Lonchura striata: one gene and its partner. Each later gene encodes a partner of the first gene's protein in a complex. Links are inferred from orthologs where the notes say so. Each region holds a gene or a part of one and is shown on either strand. Other genes may lie near its edges. The genes, in order: NPR3 and NPPC.

Region 1 (9,414 bases):
AGCAAAAGACATAAGGATTTTTTATAATACATGGAATGCTTATGTCCTTTTGATCTTAGTTTACAAGAGTACATGCAGGAGAATGAGCTAAATATTTTCAAGCAGGTTTTTTGTCTGCATATGTGTGATAAAAGCACTTATGCTGTCAGAAAGAGCAAAATATAAAACCAATGGAAAGAACAAGCAGGGTCTTAAGAAATACATTACAAACTGCACATAAAGAATATATCACTTTCCAGAGGTCTCTGTTATCAGTGTACAAATAGAAGCAAAACTTCCAAAAGGCTTTTATCTCTTTGTGCACAGCATGAGGATACCTCCATTTCCTCCTGCTCTGTTTCTGGCAGAAGTGATCATTGCTGAGTTCCTGCCTTTTACCAGGAACTAGAACTTGTCAAGCACTGTTCGCTTTATTTTTTGAGCCCTTATCCATCTCGGTATAATTAAATTATATTACCTAGTGTGTGAAATGGCCAGTTTGCCATTAATTGTAAAGTCTCCTTTTTAAATTTGCTTTGTTGCATCTCTTTTCTTGACTGTTGACATTCCTCTCTGCTCTGTACTTTGTCTTCCTCCACCAACTCATCTGTTCTTGGTTGGAGCTTTTGTCCTCACTCAGTAATCTCATTTGTTCCTATTCCTGTGATGTGATGACATATGAAAACTGTCTCTTCTGCCAAGTCCATATATTAATTTTTTTAAACCACATTAGTGCTTTAATAAACTGGAAGTTACAGAACTCATGAAGTACAAGTTTATTTAACAGAATTTATTTTAATTTAATTAAATATTTAAAATATTTTTGTATCAGCTCAGTGGAATAAGATTTGTCAATAGTATTAAAAATGTTTTTTCCATGCATTCCCTGTAATTTAATAATTAATTAACATGCAAGAGAAAATACATACAGAGATCTCAGCACTAGTTTTCACTAAGGAGTTCCTGTCTCTCATCTCTGGCATCTTGCTGTTGTTTCAGATCTTTTGCTCTGCTGTGCCAACACAACCACATCAATGAGCTGATTTAGTTAAAAAAATATTCCACATTTTGCCTCAGAATACTTCTAAAGATCAATCAGTTTCTGGGACAATATTACTGCGTAAACTGACACATCCTGCAGAGCTGAGTATCCAGACAAAGCATAGATGTCTGGTTTCTTTACACTGTGAGACTTCTATTCCTCTTTTATGGGAATACACGTGAAAGAATATTTTGGAATAGTTCCTGACTTGAGATTGCACATGACAGCAGTGCAGCTTCTTGGTTGTCCATGCTATGGGATGTCTGATCCCAACTCTCTTTTTGAGGCACAGTGATAGTATTCCTAACTATTTTTTTACAAGCAATATGGGTATGTATTGTAGGGTTACTAGATCTCAAGAAGAAAAGATCTTTGCTCTCCAAAGCCCTTAAAATCCTCTGGACAGAAATGCCATTATATTGGTAAAGTACGGGTGGTGTTTGCATTTCACCAATCACTCTTTATTTCACACTATGATACAACTGTTTGACGGAGGCAGATGCACATGAGGAACAAGGTGGCCACCATCCTGTGCACTCCAGTGACCATCCAGTCACTGACCTATCTAAGATATGGAAATGAAAACAAAAATGAAAATCACAGGAACAACTTGGATCCAAAGCAATTTAGTTTAGTTAGATCCTCCTAATTTAGTTTAGTTAGCAAAAAATGTCTGTTCTGTACCCTGACATTATTATATCCAGCTGTGTCTAAATACAGAAATCGGTTGCCAAACAAAGAGAATATTTTCTAACATAGTCCCATCAGAAGAGGAAAGTGAGTTTAGCAGAGAGTCAGTATGACTCAAGGTAATGTATAAGGTTATACTGTTAAAAAGAATGCACTAGTTGCATTTTTAATATTTCTATCCTTACTACAAATACTTGTAAAATAGGTAGTGTAGGTGTACTTTTTTAAACTGAAAATAATTGCAAAACCATCTTTCTTAGAAATAAAAGTTATCTGGAAGGTTGTGATGTCAACTTCTCACTATTATGTTCTTTCACACCCTTCAGTGGAAACACAATTGTGCTGTAAAACATTAATGCAACTAGTCTTTGCTGTGTACAAAGCTGCATTTTTTCCCATGTTGCAAGTTGTTTGGAGTGGCAGGCTGCAGAAAAGAAGTATTGTTTCTCCTTAAACATTCATGACAAGAAGTTTAATCTTTATGGAACAAAAAAGAGTGAGGGCCAGTCTTTTTCACCTTATCATCTCATTAATAATATAAAAATGACATCTACCTGCCTGCCTTTACTTTCTGCTGTGAAGTGGAAGCTGTTCAGATAGCAACAGCAGCAAAGTGTTATTATTATGTATGTGTGTATATATATATATATATATATATATATATATATATATATATGTATACATGTACTTCAATTTTTGTGCGCACTTTTGTGACCTTGGGTTCTTGTATCTCCAGAGAAGTTGGTGTAACTTACAAGGGGGAAAAAATCACATTTCCATCTATTTTTCTAGCATCAGATTGGCTCATCTTGGGTTTTCATGCTGTAGTATTTTCACCTCAAAACCATGCTGATTTTTATACATAACAGAAGTATATGAAGGTAAGGTCACAGAACACAAAAAGAGACACAAGATGCATCATGATACATTTAGAAATCTTTTCGGTATATTCCAAAGGAGTACAGATTCCTTAAAATAAGAAGATAATTCAAGATTGCTTGAAAAACAGGGGAAGAGTTTGCAAGTCTGAATAATCTAGGCAGGGTATATTTGCACAGGCGTTTCATCTTTTCAGCCTGTAGGTGGGACTGTGTTTTCAGCAAACCCATCTGTGAAAAAAAAAATCTGAATTGGCATCAGGCAGCTCAGGCTGTTGCTAATGCTGGCTGGAGTGAGTCAAGTGATTCTTGACTTGTATTTGAGTTATTTCTGGGGAGAAAATGGCCTGTGTCCGAAATTACTTTAGTCCTTAATGGGCTATTCTGAAATATCTGTTCTCACTGCAGTCAGTGGGCATTCTGCCTGCTACAGATCTGCAACTGCAGATTTGTTCCTATTAAAAAGCATTTATGTAGCTGAAAAAAAAAGTCTGTGGAGAAATGTTGAATTTATAGCTATGGAAAATACTGTAAGTGAACTGATGATGGTGTAGTAAGTGACATTTTGAATTGGGATTAACAAGTAAATTCTCATGCATAACTTCTTGGCTCAGAAAAAATAAGTCCATCACAGGCTGGGCTTCTTTTTTACAAAAACACTTAGGGTAAAAGGGAAGAGAAATGTTTATAGCACTCTAGGCCCACAGAGACACTGACTCCCATAACAGTGAATGCAGTTACTCAGGTGAGTAAGAACCACATACTATGGGCCAAATGTTATTATGAAAACACTGAAATTGGACTCTGACGCTACTACTGCTACACAGTACTGGCTAGATGCCTTGTGTTTCTTGTTTTGCCTCATGCTGGCCCTATTTCTCCCACTCTTATTCATTCCCAACAGTACTTTACCTCACAAGGAGCAACCCGTGTAAAGGGGCAGCAGCCCTGTCATTTATGGGGTTACTATCTCTTCTGTTGTGTTTACACAGCTTACGTTGAAATAAGACAGCTAGGAGAGTATAGAGCTCACATGTAAAATATATTCTGCTGAAGGAAGAAGGAAATCATGAGAGATCCTACCAGATTTTGGTGCTGTAAACACATGTGTTGGGTCACCATAAAGTAATCACTACAAAGGTCAGCATTTCAAAATGTGTCTTAAGAAAATGTTTTTGCTAGCTTTGTGGTAAAGATGGCTGGTGTGTTGTATATTGTAACATTCTGCTTAATCTCCTCTATGTTATACAGAGTCATTTCCAACAAAAAATGCCTGACATAACTTACAGCACAGGAACACACAAAACCAGCTTCACCAGGGTGGCTGTTTATGTAATCTTCAAGAACACTCTGAAGTTTGATTCAGTAATCAAATAAAACTATGAGAGGCATATTTCTGAGACACTACCCATCTTTAAATTTCTGAGCTTCTTTATTTTTCCGAACCTTGTTAGATAAATGTTGATGATTATTTCTGTACATCATGTTATCTGCTGTTTTCATTCCACTTCTTGGTTGTAATTGCACAAGTGCTTTGAGCTTTCTTTTTTTTTAATTGAGGCATCTTAAAGGTGAGCAGATGGTCACCACAGGAGTGCAGGTTTCCCATTCACAGCCTGCACAGCAAAGGCAAAAACAAAAGTTAAGTTTACACATACTGCCCTGACAACGACCTCTGTGCTGAACTAAACAAACCCCTTCTGTAAAGCCAGGAGCATTTCTCTCCCCTTTCGAACACAAACCTGGCACTCTCTAGAAACCATAAAAAATCAAACTGGGCAGCCCTGCGCTGGCTTTCAGGATGTGTGCTGCTGCAGGACACAAAATGCTCCAGGGTGCCATCCTTTAGGAGTTGCAGTCAAAAAGCATCAGGTGTTCCAAAGCCTCTTTCACAAAACAAACATCTTGCATATTTCACATCACTTTATGCCAGAAAAGGCTAACAAAATCTGAAGCATAGCAGTTTAAGGCCAGTGAGTAGAATTGAACGGGGATGATCTTAAGTCTAGGAAATGTTGTCGCAGTAGTTCCAAAGGTTCTTTTTTTCCCCAGTAAAATAATCTCAGACCTCTCCTTCACTGGGGTTAACCTCTGTTGCTTGGGGTGTGACACTGTGTCTCTCAAGGTAGTGGGAAATGACAAAGCCCGGCATCCAGACCTTCTTGTCACGGGGGACTCAGAAAGATTCCAAAGGGATACAGGTAGGGGCCACAGATCCACTGTCAGCTTCCCCGCAGGCTTATGCTGTGCATGGGCACCTTTCCGGGTTGAGGAGACGGGAGCAGGACGGCCCTGCTTGTGCTCTGCCACAGCGCCCGCCCGGCTGCTGCCTGCATCCCCTGGTGCTGATGCTGCAAGCCCTCCTTCCCGAAATCCCACAGCCCTGCCGAGCACTGAATCCCTGAGCCCTCGGGGTGCCTCAAAAGCCTTTCTTATGCAGCAGAGGACAGCTTAAGCAGGCTGGAACAACCCACAAAAAGTATTTAAGGAAAAAATGGAAGTGCAATTGCTCGCACGGGCCCGATTGCGGGGACTCGCTTGGCAAGGGAGGGCAGCAGCCGAGCGGGAAGGTAGGCGAAACACACACATCAGTGTTCGATGTACGCGATAAGGACACCTCCCGCGGGCCCGCGGAGGTGTGCGGGGCGGGGGGGCCGCAGGGAGGGGGCGGGCGGGAGGGAGAGGGCCGGCTCCTCCCTGCGCACAAACCCGGCCGCGCCGGGCCGGGCGTGCGGAGACGCCGCCGCCGCTCCCGCGCTACTTAAGCGGGGAGGGCGCAGCCCGGCAGCCCCGCGGGGGGATCCGGCGTGGGGGGGAAAGTGATCATAGTAGTAGTCGTTCATCTATAAGAGAACGAGAAAAGCAGAGCCGAGATGCTCCGTCCGTCCGCCAGCGGGGTGGGGAGGGGCAGGTTGTGAATCCGCCAAACACCTGAGAAATAAAGCACGACCGAACAATTTCGAGGCGGGCGGGGAAGGGGGGGACGAAAAGTTTGCCGGAGCTCGGGCGTCTCCGGGGGGGCGGGCGCGATGCCGCCCTGGCTGCTCGGCAGCCTCTGCTGCGTGCTGGCGGCGCGGGCGGCGCTGGGCAGCGGCCCCGCGGGCGAGGAGGAGGAGGAGAAGCTGATACGGGTGCTGGTGCTGCTACCGCAGGACGACGCCTACCTCTTCTCGCTGGGGCGGGTGCGGCCGGCCATCGAGTACGCGGTGCGGAGCCTGCGGGAGAGCGGCGCGGGTCTGCCGCCCGGCTACGCCTTCCAGCTCACCTACGAGGACTCGGCGTGCGGCAACCGCGCCCTGTTCAGCCTGGTGGACATGGTGGCCCTGCAGCGCCGCCGCCCCGACCTGCTGCTGGGGCCCGTGTGCGAGTACGCGGCGGCGCCGGTGGCGCGGCTGGCCGCGCACTGGGACGTGCCGATGCTGTCGGCGGGCGCGCTGGCCGCCGGCTTCGGCGCCAAGGGCGGCGAGTACTCGCACCTCACCCGCGTCGCGCCCGCCTACGCCAAGATGGGAGAGATGCTGCTGGCCCTTTTCCGCCACCACCAGTGGAACCGGGCCACGCTCCTCTACAGCGACAGCAACCCCGAGCGCAGCTGCTACTTCGCCATGGAGGGCGTCCATGTGGTCTTCCAGGAGGAGGCTTTCCACATGGCCGTGCACAGCTTCGACGAGACCAGCCGGCACCTCGACATCGACGACGTCGTCCGCGCCCTCCAGACGGGAGAGAGGGGTGAGTGGCGGCGGAGTGCCGGGCAGGGCTCCTCTGTGGCGGCCGGGGCGGTGGGAATCCCGCGGAGGGAAGGACCTGCGGACGGGGAAGAGTCACGGCTCGTCCCCGCCCGTGGGGAAACTCACTGCAGTGCTGCGACGGCAGCCCCGGGCCAGGCATACTCCGACGGATGGGAACAGCAGCCCTGAGTGAAAGCTCTGCCCACAGAGCTAGAGTTTGCCTCCCCACGGTGTAGAGAGCGGTTTGCCCTCGGGGACCACCTTTGGAGGGCTTTGTGGCATGGTAAGAAAACATCTTGCTGCTGGCAGTCTGGTTTACCCAAATTATCCACGTCTGCAGGGCAGCAAATCTGTTGCTTACTCTCTGAGATTTTTGCAGTGATACTATATAAGTTCAGGGACTAAACAAAGATGTTTTCCTCTCACCCCACTGTGCCTTGCAGCGGGAGATCTTTTCATGACTTCTGCCACTGGGAACCTCGTCGAGTAACTCAAATAACAGATTCATTTAGGGGAAATGGCAATTTCAGGGGATGTGTGCACGTGAAACACCTGAGTGCATGCCATGATATTGTCACCAAGTGATAGGAAGACACTGTGGAGATAAATGGCTTGTAAACATCTGAGACAGTCATGTCTGGGCTGGATGAACTGACTTTGCATCATGGAACAGCAAAGCAAAGTGCTTTGGAACATGCAGTTTTGTAGTTAGATGTTCTTTAAAGTGAGATCTTGCCTAGCAGTGTGTGGCTATATGAGCTTATCAGAAACACTTTTTCTGTTTGAGGGTTTTGCATGACTTACTGCAGAAGCCATAGGCTTCCTCAGTAAGTCATGCAAAAAGAAAATACGTAATCCAGAAGTGAACTGTAGGGTGAAGTTAAAGTTCTTAGGTATTTTCCAAGAAAGCCATGGATGTACAAAGCTCTTTGTACAATTCTTACATATCTTGTTGTAGAGTATTAAAATAGCACCAGAATTGGACAGATAAATATTATGCTGTGTGTGGCAGGCAGAACTGGTATTGTGGTGCTGTAGGCTGTGGATGGAGCAGCCTTGCACTGCTGATGTTACACTGCTGTGAAATAATTAACATGCCGGACTGTGTGAGATAACTGAGGTCTGACAGCATAGGGCTTTTAATTCCCTATTCACTGAAGTACATGCTTTAAATAGAGCTTTCCTTTTAAGTATCATTTGGGGAAATATAATGGATGGAGAGAAATAAATGTGTTAGTACTGGAGGAAACCACAGTGCGGGGAAAGATGCTTGTCAAATGTGTGTGTGGCTTTCCTGATGCTGAGAGCATTACAGCATGCTTACATCAGGAAAAGACAAGTGTTCACCCCAGCCCCACTCTTCACACCATGCTGACAGTCAGGGAGGAGAGCTTGCTTTCAGCCTGATCTGAATTGCTTTGTTGAGCTGAGACATTTGATCTTTCACAATTCTTCAACTTGCAACTGACTGAACAGAAGCAGCCCTCTTCTTTCTCCCCATTGTGGGGTCCCTCCTTCCATCTCACCTCTGTATTTGTTCTCTGACTCCTGCCACTCAAGTGGGGCCCTCCACCTTCCACTTGTGCCTTTTTGACTTTAAAGACTGACTGCAGGACTCACCTGGCAGATTCCTTTGGCCCTGCTGCTCATGGCATGTTTCAGGTTACCACAATATTTTAAGAGTTCTACACCACGTGGAGGGTGCACCAGATGAGGTCTGAAGATCAGTAGAAGTCTTTATTTGTTCTCAGGACTCACTGGAGATCCCCCCAGCAGGACAGCAGGACTTGTGGGCAGCAGCACACTGTCCAGAGCACTTTCTAGAAATATTTTTGCTTGGTTGGTTTCCAGTTTTTAATGAGTCCTGTGTCACACCTGCTGTGACCTCACTTTCTCTAGCTTTCAAAAACTGCTGCCGTTTGGTTCCCACCTGACTGGTCAGCCTTCACTGAGCTCCCTGACTAGGAGTAGGCTTTTGAGCAGATACAGGATTCTTCCTTGAGACTCTCCCAGAGCTGGGAAGAAACTGCCCCACCAGCTGTCCTGTGGGAAGCAGGACAGAGGTTGGCCCCAGAGGTTAGGTTGCTGCTGGCTGGGGGTTTTCACTGGCCTCTCTGATGCCTGAGAGGAAGAGGCACACTCAGCCATTCACCCCTGTGTGCCAGGGACTGCGAGTTCAGTCCCTGAGCCATGTGAAATGGCTGAAGTCTTGGAGCCACAAAAATTAATGATGAAAATGTGATCATTAAAATCAAGTACTTGTCTACAATTAGTTTTATTAGTAGTTCAGGCTTCCTTATAGGCTCAGGTAAGCCTGCTGCAGAGTCCATGTTGAAGGCTCAGGTTTACTGTACGGTTCATATATGTGGGCCTATGCTTTATGTATAAGCACACAGTCCAAGGGATGTGTGTAGCAAAGGGAATGCTTATTCCTTTAAACTGGAATGAAACTCCAAAGTGTTTTCAGGATGAATCAATAATCCTAGTCAATAAATTCAGCATGTTAGTATTAGAATTACTGTGTTCTGTGTGTATTATGGCGGAGAGAGAACATTTTGTATGGGTGTGCACATACACATTTGGTACAATGGTAAGGTACAGATGCAGATTAAATATATAATTTATATTTTTTTTGAAAGATTGTGAGAAACATATCCATAGATTATTTGCTTCAGAATCTTGAAATATGTCCTGCTGGGTTAGAAACCTCTTCCAAACAGTTAATATTACTTCTCTTACATTCCTTTAGAGGCTTACACAATACGATTTAATGTATGTTAAAGTAGTTCCCCACACACTCTTTTTCTTTTATTCCTTTTGCTCAATGTCTTTTATTGGTGTTGTGGGAATCCCTTTGATTCCATCTATGGATTACACTTTTATGATAGAAGTGCATTACAAAGGCAGAGTCAAGGAAGAATTGGGAGGGCAGAGAGGAAATATTTCAAAAGGAAATCTCTCACCTATACTGAAATTAAGAACAGTGAGACAAATTAATTCCTGATGTGCATCTGGAAAATATTTGGTCCAAATTTTATTGTAAGAAATTTTTTTTCTTGTTCATTTTCCTTCATGATAATATACTTCACAATGGTCA
Region 2 (9,714 bases), on another chromosome or scaffold:
CTCTCACTCCTGACTTTTCTAAAACATCTGAACAATTTCTTCTTGAGCTCTGCTAAAATCAATCAATCTGACATTTAAATTGTATGTGAATTTGATAAATAAAGACAGATTACAAAATGCCACACGGAATGATTTTTTTTAAAGTTTTTCAACTACTTAGGACAAAAAATGTTACAATGCTTGACTTTTCATTTAGTTACATAAATAATTTTTTATAAATATCTCTTTATAAACAATATATAAATAGCTTTACAACATAAATACATTTATGCATGACATGAATTTACAAACAGCAATGTTATACAGCTGGCTTCATCAGTCTCTTGGAAAAGCACTGTCCCTTGTCTCGCTGAGTGTTTGTATATATAATATATATAAGATAGAGAGCACTTGTTAAAAAAATAACAAAACCAAAACAGTTGGTGCCATAATTCCTCGTACCAAAAAGAAAAACACAACCACATCTTTTGTCCATTCCAAGGGGGTCTCTGCTTCTCTAGGTGTTGCCTGGGGATGTGCCTGGCCGTGCGTGGTAGGAAAAAGTGGACTACGGACTCAAAGCCCTGTGAGGAACAAGAACAAAGTGCCCATTAGTATTTGCCATGCAGCACCCCTTACCCATCCCCAGCCAAAACTCCTGCCCAAGTATCCATGGCCTGGGGCTGGGGGATGCTGGACTCAGCAGAAGCCATCCCTGAGCTTTTTGCTTGTGCTAAAGAAAGGAAGTGCACCCTTTGCTTTCTGGCTGGCGTTCAGGGGAGAGGCTGAGGGAAGCTGCTGCTCCTCCTGCCCTTGTGTTAGAGTTTTTTTTTTCCTTGTTCTGATGGGTTTAGTGAGAGAGGATGGGTGTGACCTGCCTACATGGGGTCTGTGTGTTCCTTGGGAGCCCTGAGCTAGCAATACTTGGCAATACTGAAGAGTTTCTAAATGAGGGAGGAGAGAAACAGCACCCATCCCTCCAGGACAGGCCATAGACCAGCACTGGCATCCTGTAGGCACCTTTGGGTTGTGCTATTCCCATTGCTCTGCAGAGCAGCAGGATGCTGGATCCAGTCCCTGCTGTGCCCAGTTATGCTACTGCAGGGCTGGACCATGGGAAGAAGAGCAAGTGGCCTGGGCTGCAGTGGTAAGTGCTTCCCGAAGTGTGAGTTCATCTGTGTGTGTCCTGCTGGCAGGGCCAGGCCAGAACCATACCTCACTGTCCCCAGCACCCGCAGGGAGACCTGGCAGGGGAGGCACTGCCATGTTTTTCCCAACCCATCACTCTGGGGAAGCCACTCCTTCACGCATTGGTTGCTGCACAGTGGCTGTGAAGCACTGTGGGAGGAACTTCTCCCAGCTTCCCATAACTTTCTCAGATACAAAACTGCAGTTAGGAAAGTGCTACTCATGGCTGTCACCACACCTAGAAGACACCTGAGGAACTTATGTGTTGTTTGTCCTTAAAAGCACTGGAGCATGGCTGAGACAGGAGCCTCACTAAACTCTCCAACTGCAGGCACACAGGGGGTACCCTGCCCTCCTAACACCTATCCATAGCTCACCTAAGTGTTTCAAGCAGAGAGGGCAACTAGAAACCTGTGGCTGCACCAGAGCTCCTCCTGCATCCTCCCCGGAGCCCAGGGATCTAGCTCAAATTAGGGGGAATCCAGATTGAACTGCTGCAGAAGCAGCTGAGGTCTCTGACCCTTCTGCAGGGTAAGGCAGAGAGAGGGCCGGTGGATTCCGGACGGGAATGTAATAAGGCCAGCTTTGGGGTCCTCCTCTTTACCTGCCAGCAAAGCCAGAGGTTGCGAGGCTCAGCGGGACGAACACCTGCAGTCCCGTGCGCTGGCATCTCGCGTTCGCAGGGCAGCGCATCTTCCGCACGCCCCGCGGTACCGGAGCGCGGCCCCCGGCCCATCCCGGCCCCGGCCCGGCCCGGCCGCGCACTCACCGCCAGGGGTCCCTCAGCATCCGAGGCCGCTCATGGCGCCGATGCGATCCAGCTTGAGCCCGAAGCAGCCCTTGCCCAGGCCCTTCTTGTGGAGGCCCTTGTGGCGGCGGCCCGGCGGGTCCTGCAGCAGCCGCGCCCAGCCCGCCCGCGACCGCGCTTCGGCCCGCGCCTCCCGCGCCTCCCGCGGGCCCGAGCCGCCGCCGCCGCTCCGCTCCTTCTCCCGCTCCTTCTCCCGCTCCTTCTCCCGCTCCTTCTCCCGCTCCTTCTCCCGCTCCGCCGCCTCGGGCGGACCCGCTGCCGCCGCCGCCGCCGCCGCTGCCGCCGCTGACCCGCGGGAGGCCTGTGGGGGGGAGAGGGTCAGAGCTGCCGTCCCCAGCGATCCCCATGAGAGTTGGGGACCCCCTGTAAGGGACGCGCAGAGGGGTCGGTGTATCCCCCCTGCGATGCAAACTCGCGATTGGGTCTGTGCCCGGCAGTGCAGTCCATCACCCCGCTCTGGCTGTGGCCAGAGCATTTTCTCCCCTCCCTAAATCTGTGCTCCCTTCCCTGGGGTCAGAGCATCCCCCTGACCCACACCGTAGCGGTGTCTTCCTGTCCCGGTCATTGCATATCCACACCACCCCTCCAAAGGGCTGGTGGTGCTGCACACCTCAGCTGCGCTTCTGTCACTATCCTGTCGTCCCATTCCATCCCGTCCTCCCCCAACCCATTATCTGAAGGGACCTGAAAGCCGGCAGGTCCTTTCATTTCAGACCCCCTCGGTCATTGCATCCCTCATCAGTTTACACCAGTTTACAGACCTCTTCAGATTATGGGGAGGGGTCCTGCCCCACAGATCCTGTGCACCACTGCAGACTGTCCCCAGCAGTGGTGGGGAGATCAGGGTTCCTCCTCCCTGCTGCTCCCTCCCCTAGTTAATGCTCTCTGTGTCCTCCCAATCCTCCAATTCTAACCTACAATAAGAGGGACACACCTCCTCCACACTGCTCCCCCATCTCCCAGGCCTTCCATCTCTCTCCCTGCTCAGAGCTGCTGCCCACCAAGCCATGGAAATGTTAATCCTCATTCATTTTCCCAACATCCCCCTGTATCAACACTTTTTCTTCAGCCTGCACCCCAGTGCCTTACAGGGACACTGCCACTCCCATCCCACTGCTGCCCTGGGGCACTCGTCAGACCGTGTCTCCATCTCTGTGCCAGACCTCAGGGCAGTACCACCCAGTACAGTAGTACTGGGTGCCTCGGGCACATCCCTCGTCCTCAGCATCTCGAGAAAACCAAATCCCTGGGACACTCTCATTTGGGGCGCCCCTTCCTCATGGGACACGCGGGGAAGGGACACCCACCTCTGTGCCCCTGCCCGGCCTGTTTGGTCAGGACTGCCCGGCGGGCTCTGCTCTCGCACCCTGTCCCACCGTGCACCTGCTGCCTGCCCCGCTCCGGCTCTGCTCCCTCCCCCGTGCCCGGCACAGAGGGGTCTCCAGAGTGACTCCGGGGGCACACTGCCGCCTCCCCTGCCCCGATCCCGCGGGCTGCGGGGCACACCGCGTCCCACTCAGCCTCTGGTATGGGGCGACGTCCCCGGACGTTCGGGACAGCCTGGAGAAGCAGGGAGTCCCCCTTGCAGTCAAACAGCCCATGCGGAGAGAAGAACCCCTCTTTGCACTGACTCTGGCACCCCACAGGCACCCCACGTTTCCCCCTGTGCCGTTAGGACTCTGAGCGGGACCGGGAGAGGAGGAAGAGCCGGAGAAAGCTCCAGCCGTACCTTCTGTGGGAGCTGAGACGCCGGCTTCGCCTCCAGCCTGAGGGAGAGCAGCGCGAGTAAAAGTCCACCAGCCAGCAAGGGTGAGATCTGCATCCTGCGGGGCCGAGCGGCAGGGGGGTCGGGGGGGGCAGCGGGGAGCCGAGGGCAGCCCCGGGGAGAGGACGGGACCGACGGGAGTCAAAGTTCAGAGCGGAGCCCCGAGGTCCCTCCTGCCGCCTGCGAAGTGCCGAGCTAGTGAACTTGGGCTGCTTTCTGCTTCATTCATTTTATAACCCAACCTGCTCGGTGATGTCATCTAAATACCCAGGTCCAACCCGGTCTGCACTCCACAATAGCAGGAATTTAAAGGGGGGGGGTGGTGGTATCCCCTCTCCCCTGGCAGTAACAAATGACACAAGACAACCAGCTCCGGGAGCTGGAGACCCGAAAGGGAAAGCGGGGGGCATTTGGCTTGATGCCCCCGCCCTCCCCCAGACGCCCCCGGCCCCCCTGCAAGCTGTCTGCCCTCCCCTTGCCGGCTGCCCCACCGCCCCTCTGCTCCCCGCACTGCCCTGCTGACCTCCCGCGGCAGAACACGGGCCGGGCGGGGGGGGGTGGTCCCGGTGCGGGATTCATCCCAAAAAACAGGAATAAGCACCTTTTTTTTTTTTTTTTTTTTTTTTTTTTCTTCCCACATCCAGGATTAGATCAGACTGTGCCTCCCAGGTCTCTACTTGGCAGGAGCAGGGCCACTGCCTTCTGTGACAGGAATATGGGGGACACAAAGAGATGGAGGGTACAATGGTGCTTCTTGAGGGCACCTCAGTGGGTCTCTTGGCTCCGGGACTGACCTGCTCTCTCTGCTTCTGGGGGATCTTGATGGTGTTCCTGGCCCTGGAGATGGGGCTTTTCAAGCACCCTGGGGATGCAGGGTATAGTTAGTGTCACAGGGTCCCTTGTGGGGACAGGACCTCACTGGCTGACCCATGTCAGGGCTGTGCAGCCTGGCCTCCCTCTGACCTGCTCCCAGAGCTAGAGGTTACAGGAGAAAGGTGTGATCCTGGGATTAACCCCAGGAGTTCACAGGGCCTTTGAGGAGGCCCCTTGCTCTCAGCCTTCCCCTTTCCTGGCTGGCAGAGCAGGATTTGTGTCTCTGCTGCTGCTGGGGCTGGCACTGGGCAGCTCTGGAGCTCTGCTGGCTTTTTGCTGATGGAGCTGAGCACCATCTCCGGCCCCCTGTCCAGGGAAAATTCTCTTCTTGGCATGAGGGCAGAGGAAAGACACCCCTTTCTTTGCAGGAGCATCCACGGCTGAATTGCATTAAGCTGGATTTGTACCCCAAATCCCTTCCCTGAGACCAGGGAAACATTCTCTGCCCTTTCCCCTGTCCCTGGAGTCTGTTTCAGTCTGGTCCTTTCCTCCTGCTTTGTATCCTGGTCTTTCTTGGCTCTGCTGCTCCACAAATCTCTGGGAAGCTGCCCCTGCTGTGGGACCATGGCTCTTTGGGGGGCCGTAGTACCCCTGCTCAGGAGCAGGGAGATGTTTCCTCCTCCACAGCCCGGCTACTGGGCACGGGACACTTCAAACGAGATTGGCTCTTCAGCTCCATGTGAACGGGAGCTGGAAGGAGAAGGTCTCTGTGTTTTTTCCATTGCGCCTGCCAGGTGGAGACAACTTGGACTTTTTTGAGTGTGAAGCTGTGCTTGGGCATTTGTCTGCGTGCAGGCAGAGTGAAGTGATGGAGTCGGGATTAGAGCCGACCCCGGGTGCCAGAGAGCCGTGGGTGCAGGCAAGGAGCAGAGAGAGGCCCCTTCTCTCGGGGTTTAGTCCTTGTCCCACACGAAGTGGAGCTGGAATGTGGCAGCCAGCCTCACCAGGGTGCAAGGAATGGGGCGCTCTGCACCACTGCCCCCATCAGCAGGCTTCTGCAGGGAAAAGGGGAGCAGCAGCTGAGCCCTGGGTCTCCACAGGATGAGAGATGACATCTCTGCGGGGATCTCGGGGTGCCCGAGGCCACCAGCAGCTCAGCAACCCCCACAGAATCCTGCCATCACCGTTCTGCTTGCACTGGCTCCTGCCCTGGTGCTCTGGGCAGCCTGTCCCTTGGCTTCTCCCGGTGCACCCGGGACGGGGACAGAGACGAGGCAGATGGCTGCGGAGAAATGTCACAGTGTGGGCAGGAAGGGCCGCCTCGTTTGCCACCAGCCCCCTCGCAGGCTGCAGTTCACGGGGTCGGTGCCAGAGCTGCTCCAGCAGCCCCTCGCCCCGGAGGATTCGAGCATCGCCACAAACGCCACAAGGCGCTCAGGTCTCAGCCAGTGCCTGCCCGCAGGAGGCTCTTCCCGGCCCTCGGCTCTCTAGCGTGGTTTTCATTAGTGTGTTTTCTTTGTCACACTGTGCAGAGCCTCGGGTTTGGGGGGGGGAGAGGAGGGGCTGTGTTTTATAAATCCAATTAGCCTTGTTATTCAAATTACTCTGCCGAAGTCAGAGCCGGGCGCACACAAAGACTTAACTCAAACCAGATCGGATCCGCTGGGATGGCAAAAGCTCAGAGCTGGAGCAGGAGTGTGTAGGAAGGGGTTAAGAATGTGAAACCCTTTTGCTTGGTGGGGTGGGGGCCTGAAAGCTTTTAACCCTTAAAGGGATGGACCTTCATTAGTGCGCAGCCCTGTGGGATGATCACCCAGGATGAGAATTCAGGGCATGCGTGGAAAATGAGAAGTGGAGACATAAGGCTGGGCTCACAGGGGTCTTCCCCAGGCACTGGAGAGCAAAGAGGATCCTAAACAGCTGCACGAGGAGGGATGGAGACCTGTGGGGTGGGCTGGAGAGGGTGACACCCCTCCCCATTTCACCCAGGGGCGCAAAAAGAGCCAAGAGGAGAGAGGGGCACCAGGGCTGGCCTGTCCCTGAGAAATACCAGCGTCGAACCTGAATTATGGGGAATGGGCTGCTGTGGAGATGCTGCTGAATCTTAGCAAAGTGGGATGAGCCCTGAGTATGGGGACTTCTGGTATGTAGGGAATAGGGAAGGGAGCAGAGACTGTGTTGTATGTGTGAGAGGGCACCCATGTCCCCTGTCTGAGGATGGAGAGGGATTCATCAAAATGTGACCAGTGCCAGCATGATTTGGAGAGTGGGAGGAGATGGGTCATGGGGATCTGTGTGACAGCAGCATGGAGTGTTCTGGCCCCATCACAAGGAAGGGGTGAGTGATGCCAGCACTGAGGATGCATCCAGCTGGGCAGCAGTGGGGCCCTGGCTCTCCTGGCTGAAATTAGGAGCCAGGTTCCAGGCACCTTCTAGAGGATGATGTCAAGAAGGTTCACAGGATAGAAATGTGGACTCAAGTCGGAAGTAAGCTGCTACTGTAGCAGTGAACAGCCAGTGATTCATCTCCTTTCTCTTCAACTCAGTTATCCTTAGGGAACATGTTTCTTATTGATTTGGGAAATCACTGGCCAGATTTATGTCTCTTCTGCTACCTTCTGCCAGGAGAGCATTTCCTGACCAAGAGATGGATAACCCTAGGGTGAGGATTTTCAGCTGATGCCATGTGAAAGCCAATCATCCCTTTGCAAAAAGAGACATCAGAAGGCAGAGTGCATGTGATGGTGATGCAGAGGGGCTGATGCTTTCCCACAACCAGTGGCCAACCCAAGTTGTTTTTGGTTAAGAACCATCCCAGATGGTGGGACAGAGAAGGTACAAAGATGGAGCAGCTGTTAAGATAAGGGAGCTACTTGACCCCCAGCACAGCCACCAACTACCAGTCCTCAGGAATATGATGTGTTCAACAAGAGAATGTCACCAAGAGTTTGATGTGCTGAAATAAGAGTTTTTAACAGTTGGTTTTCTTCTTTTTACAGATTTTAGAGTACCTCTCTAGGGGTCTGATGATAGCCAACTCAGTGAGAAGCAGTTTGAAGAGAGATTTCAATTTTGATTATTGGGATGGATGAGCAGCCTCTGGTGCATGCAGGGGACTATCTGGTCCCACCTCTGTGATGATGTTCCTCCTGAGGATGCTTTAAAGAAAGGTTTTCTGGGGAATAACTCTGTAGCCCCTGAGGCAAGAACACTGCCCAGCAGCTCAGACCTGGCCATTACAAGTCCACAGCCCCAGTAGCCACCAGGTGGTCACAGGGATGGGGGAGCTCCATACACTGGGGTGTGATGCTCCTGGGGTGCTCTCTGAACCCCTGATGGAGATTTTGGCCTGTTTGAACATTCCTGGTGTTTGTTTTGGATGCTGCTGCTGTTGAATGAGACATTGCAGGAAACACTACAGGATTTTGCACTTTCCCCTGTCTCCTTTGGGTCGGGAAGAGGGCTCTGCCTGAGGATACAGGCATGGCCAATACCCCCTCTCCTCAAACTGGGATGGTGATGGGGAGACAGCCAACAGAGCTGCCCTGATGGGGCAGGCAAGAATGGGGCTGCATGTGCTGCAAAAGCCTTAAGTTTAAAGACCAAGACGGTTTCTCTGTCCCCTCCCAAAACCTCCCAGAGTGGCAAAGCTGAGGAGAAGAGGACAAGCCCCAAACAGAGACTCACAGGTCTTTGCTAGTGAAGTGCTGATATTCTGACAGGCACAGTGTGTTTTTCCCCCAGGGCTTTGCCTTTTGGGATCTGCCATTTTTTCCTGGGCTTCCTAGGATACTACAGTCTTCTCCTGACATTCTGGATATTTTTTCCAAGGCTACAAGGGGATATCTGTGCTCTGGAGCTCGGATGCCTCACTGCTCTGGTGGGAGCAGGAACACAATGTCTCAGGGTTTTGTTGAATGTCAATAAAATGAAGCAATTCTAACGCACGGGTGACTCCACACCACGAGCCTCCCTCTGCATCAGTCCTCAGAGGATATGAATTGCACTGCTTCCAGCTCCTGGCAGCCTCAGGTCTGCAGCTGATGTAGGGACAGGTTGTTGGGATTTTCCAAGCTAAATGCCACAGTCATCTTTGTTCTCTTTTTTTCAGATGTCTTCCCCATAAAATGGGGGTCTGGCAGTGTTTCACCCACAGCTTTGGGGTCCCAACATCATCCCAGGCTTGTTGATTTTGGCACTGAGCATCCCTTTGGGAATAGGAACTGCCCAAAGGTGTGATGGCCCAGAAAGGCAAAAGGATGAGCTATTAATATCACATTCATCCCTGCAGGGAGCCATGCCATGTGCAGATCCTGAGAAGAGATCCAACAGGCTTTTGGGGACCCCCAGCCTGTATCCAGGGAATCTCCATCACAGCGGTGGAGCCAGATGCCACCAGTGCCTCGGGGGATGGATGTCTGTGCCCTCCTGTGCTCGTGCACAACCAGGCCAGGTGAGCAGGTCCTCACTAGCCCCACGGCTCTGTCAGCAGCATGTCCTGGCTTGGCAGGAGCCTCTTCCACCTGGTTTGGCTGTGCAAACCCCTGTCACCCTCGAAAAAGCCATCAGCAGCAGCTCCCTTGCAGCCCCCCTGCCAGATACAAACACCCTCCAGCTCCTCTGAACTGGCTTCCTGGGAACCCACTGCAGGTGGTGGGAAGTCCCTTCGGCATCAGTTCTTCAGGAAAAAACTTCTGGGCTTCCTGAGTGTCACCTGGGAGCCCCTGGATGTGGGAAACCCCAGGAGAGTGTTGGGAGGCAGAAAGCCAAATGCGTTGGTCTTGGCAGTGCTGGTGGTCAAGCCTTTGACCTCCTAAATGAAAATGATCCCAGAGTGATCCCACTAAAGCCAAGTTTGGGCTTTTTGCCTCTTTTTATTCTTTTTAGGAGGGAATTTGTGCGGGTGCCAGCTGAGGAGCACTGAATGACCCTGGCTGGGGCTGACATTGGAAGAGGAAGATTTCAGCACCACGAATGGTGGTGGGGCAGCTGTGTGGGACGATAAGGGTCTGGCTGGGTTTTGGCCATGCCCGGGAACAGCTGAGGTGGCTGCTCCTGTGGCTGGGAGCGCTGCTGGCTGCAGGGGGTCACGGTGGCCCCGCTGCCACCCCACAGCAGCCACTGTGGACGTGCAGGGCTCCACAGCCCTAACCTTTAGCAA

The links.
Region 2: the proteins of NPR3 (region 1) and NPPC are in contact, whole or in part, in a crystal structure (PDB 1JDP), measured with the Homo sapiens proteins. The link is inferred for Lonchura striata from reciprocal best matches to the Homo sapiens genes NPR3 and NPPC. Residues at the interface, in NP_001191304.1 of Homo sapiens: Asn110, Tyr138, Ala141, Pro142, Arg145, Ala161, Gly163, Phe164, His166, Glu170, Tyr171, Tyr204, Lys208, Leu209, Arg211, Tyr214, Phe215, Leu217, Glu218, His221, Glu222, Gln225, Ile233; in NP_077720.1 of Homo sapiens: Gly109, Cys110, Phe111, Gly112, Leu113, Lys114, Leu115, Asp116, Arg117, Ile118, Gly119, Ser120, Met121, Ser122, Gly123, Leu124, Gly125, Cys126.

What each region holds. Positions count from the first base shown.
Region 1 is NC_134642.1:38,646,908-38,656,321, forward strand, and holds the start of NPR3 (atrial natriuretic peptide receptor 3), read left to right. Parts: upstream 1-5,618; coding exon 5,619-6,318; intron 6,319-9,414. UniProt on the Homo sapiens protein: Receptor for the natriuretic peptide hormones, binding with similar affinities atrial natriuretic peptide NPPA/ANP, brain natriuretic peptide NPPB/BNP, and C-type natriuretic peptide NPPC/CNP.
Region 2 is NC_134612.1:18,241,046-18,250,759, forward strand, and holds NPPC (C-type natriuretic peptide), read right to left. Parts: upstream 3,827-9,714; 5' UTR 3,798-3,826; coding exon 3,705-3,797; exon of another isoform or gene 3,606-3,704; intron 2,277-3,605; coding exon 1,950-2,276; 3' UTR 1,937-1,949; intron 564-1,936; 3' UTR 118-563; downstream 1-117.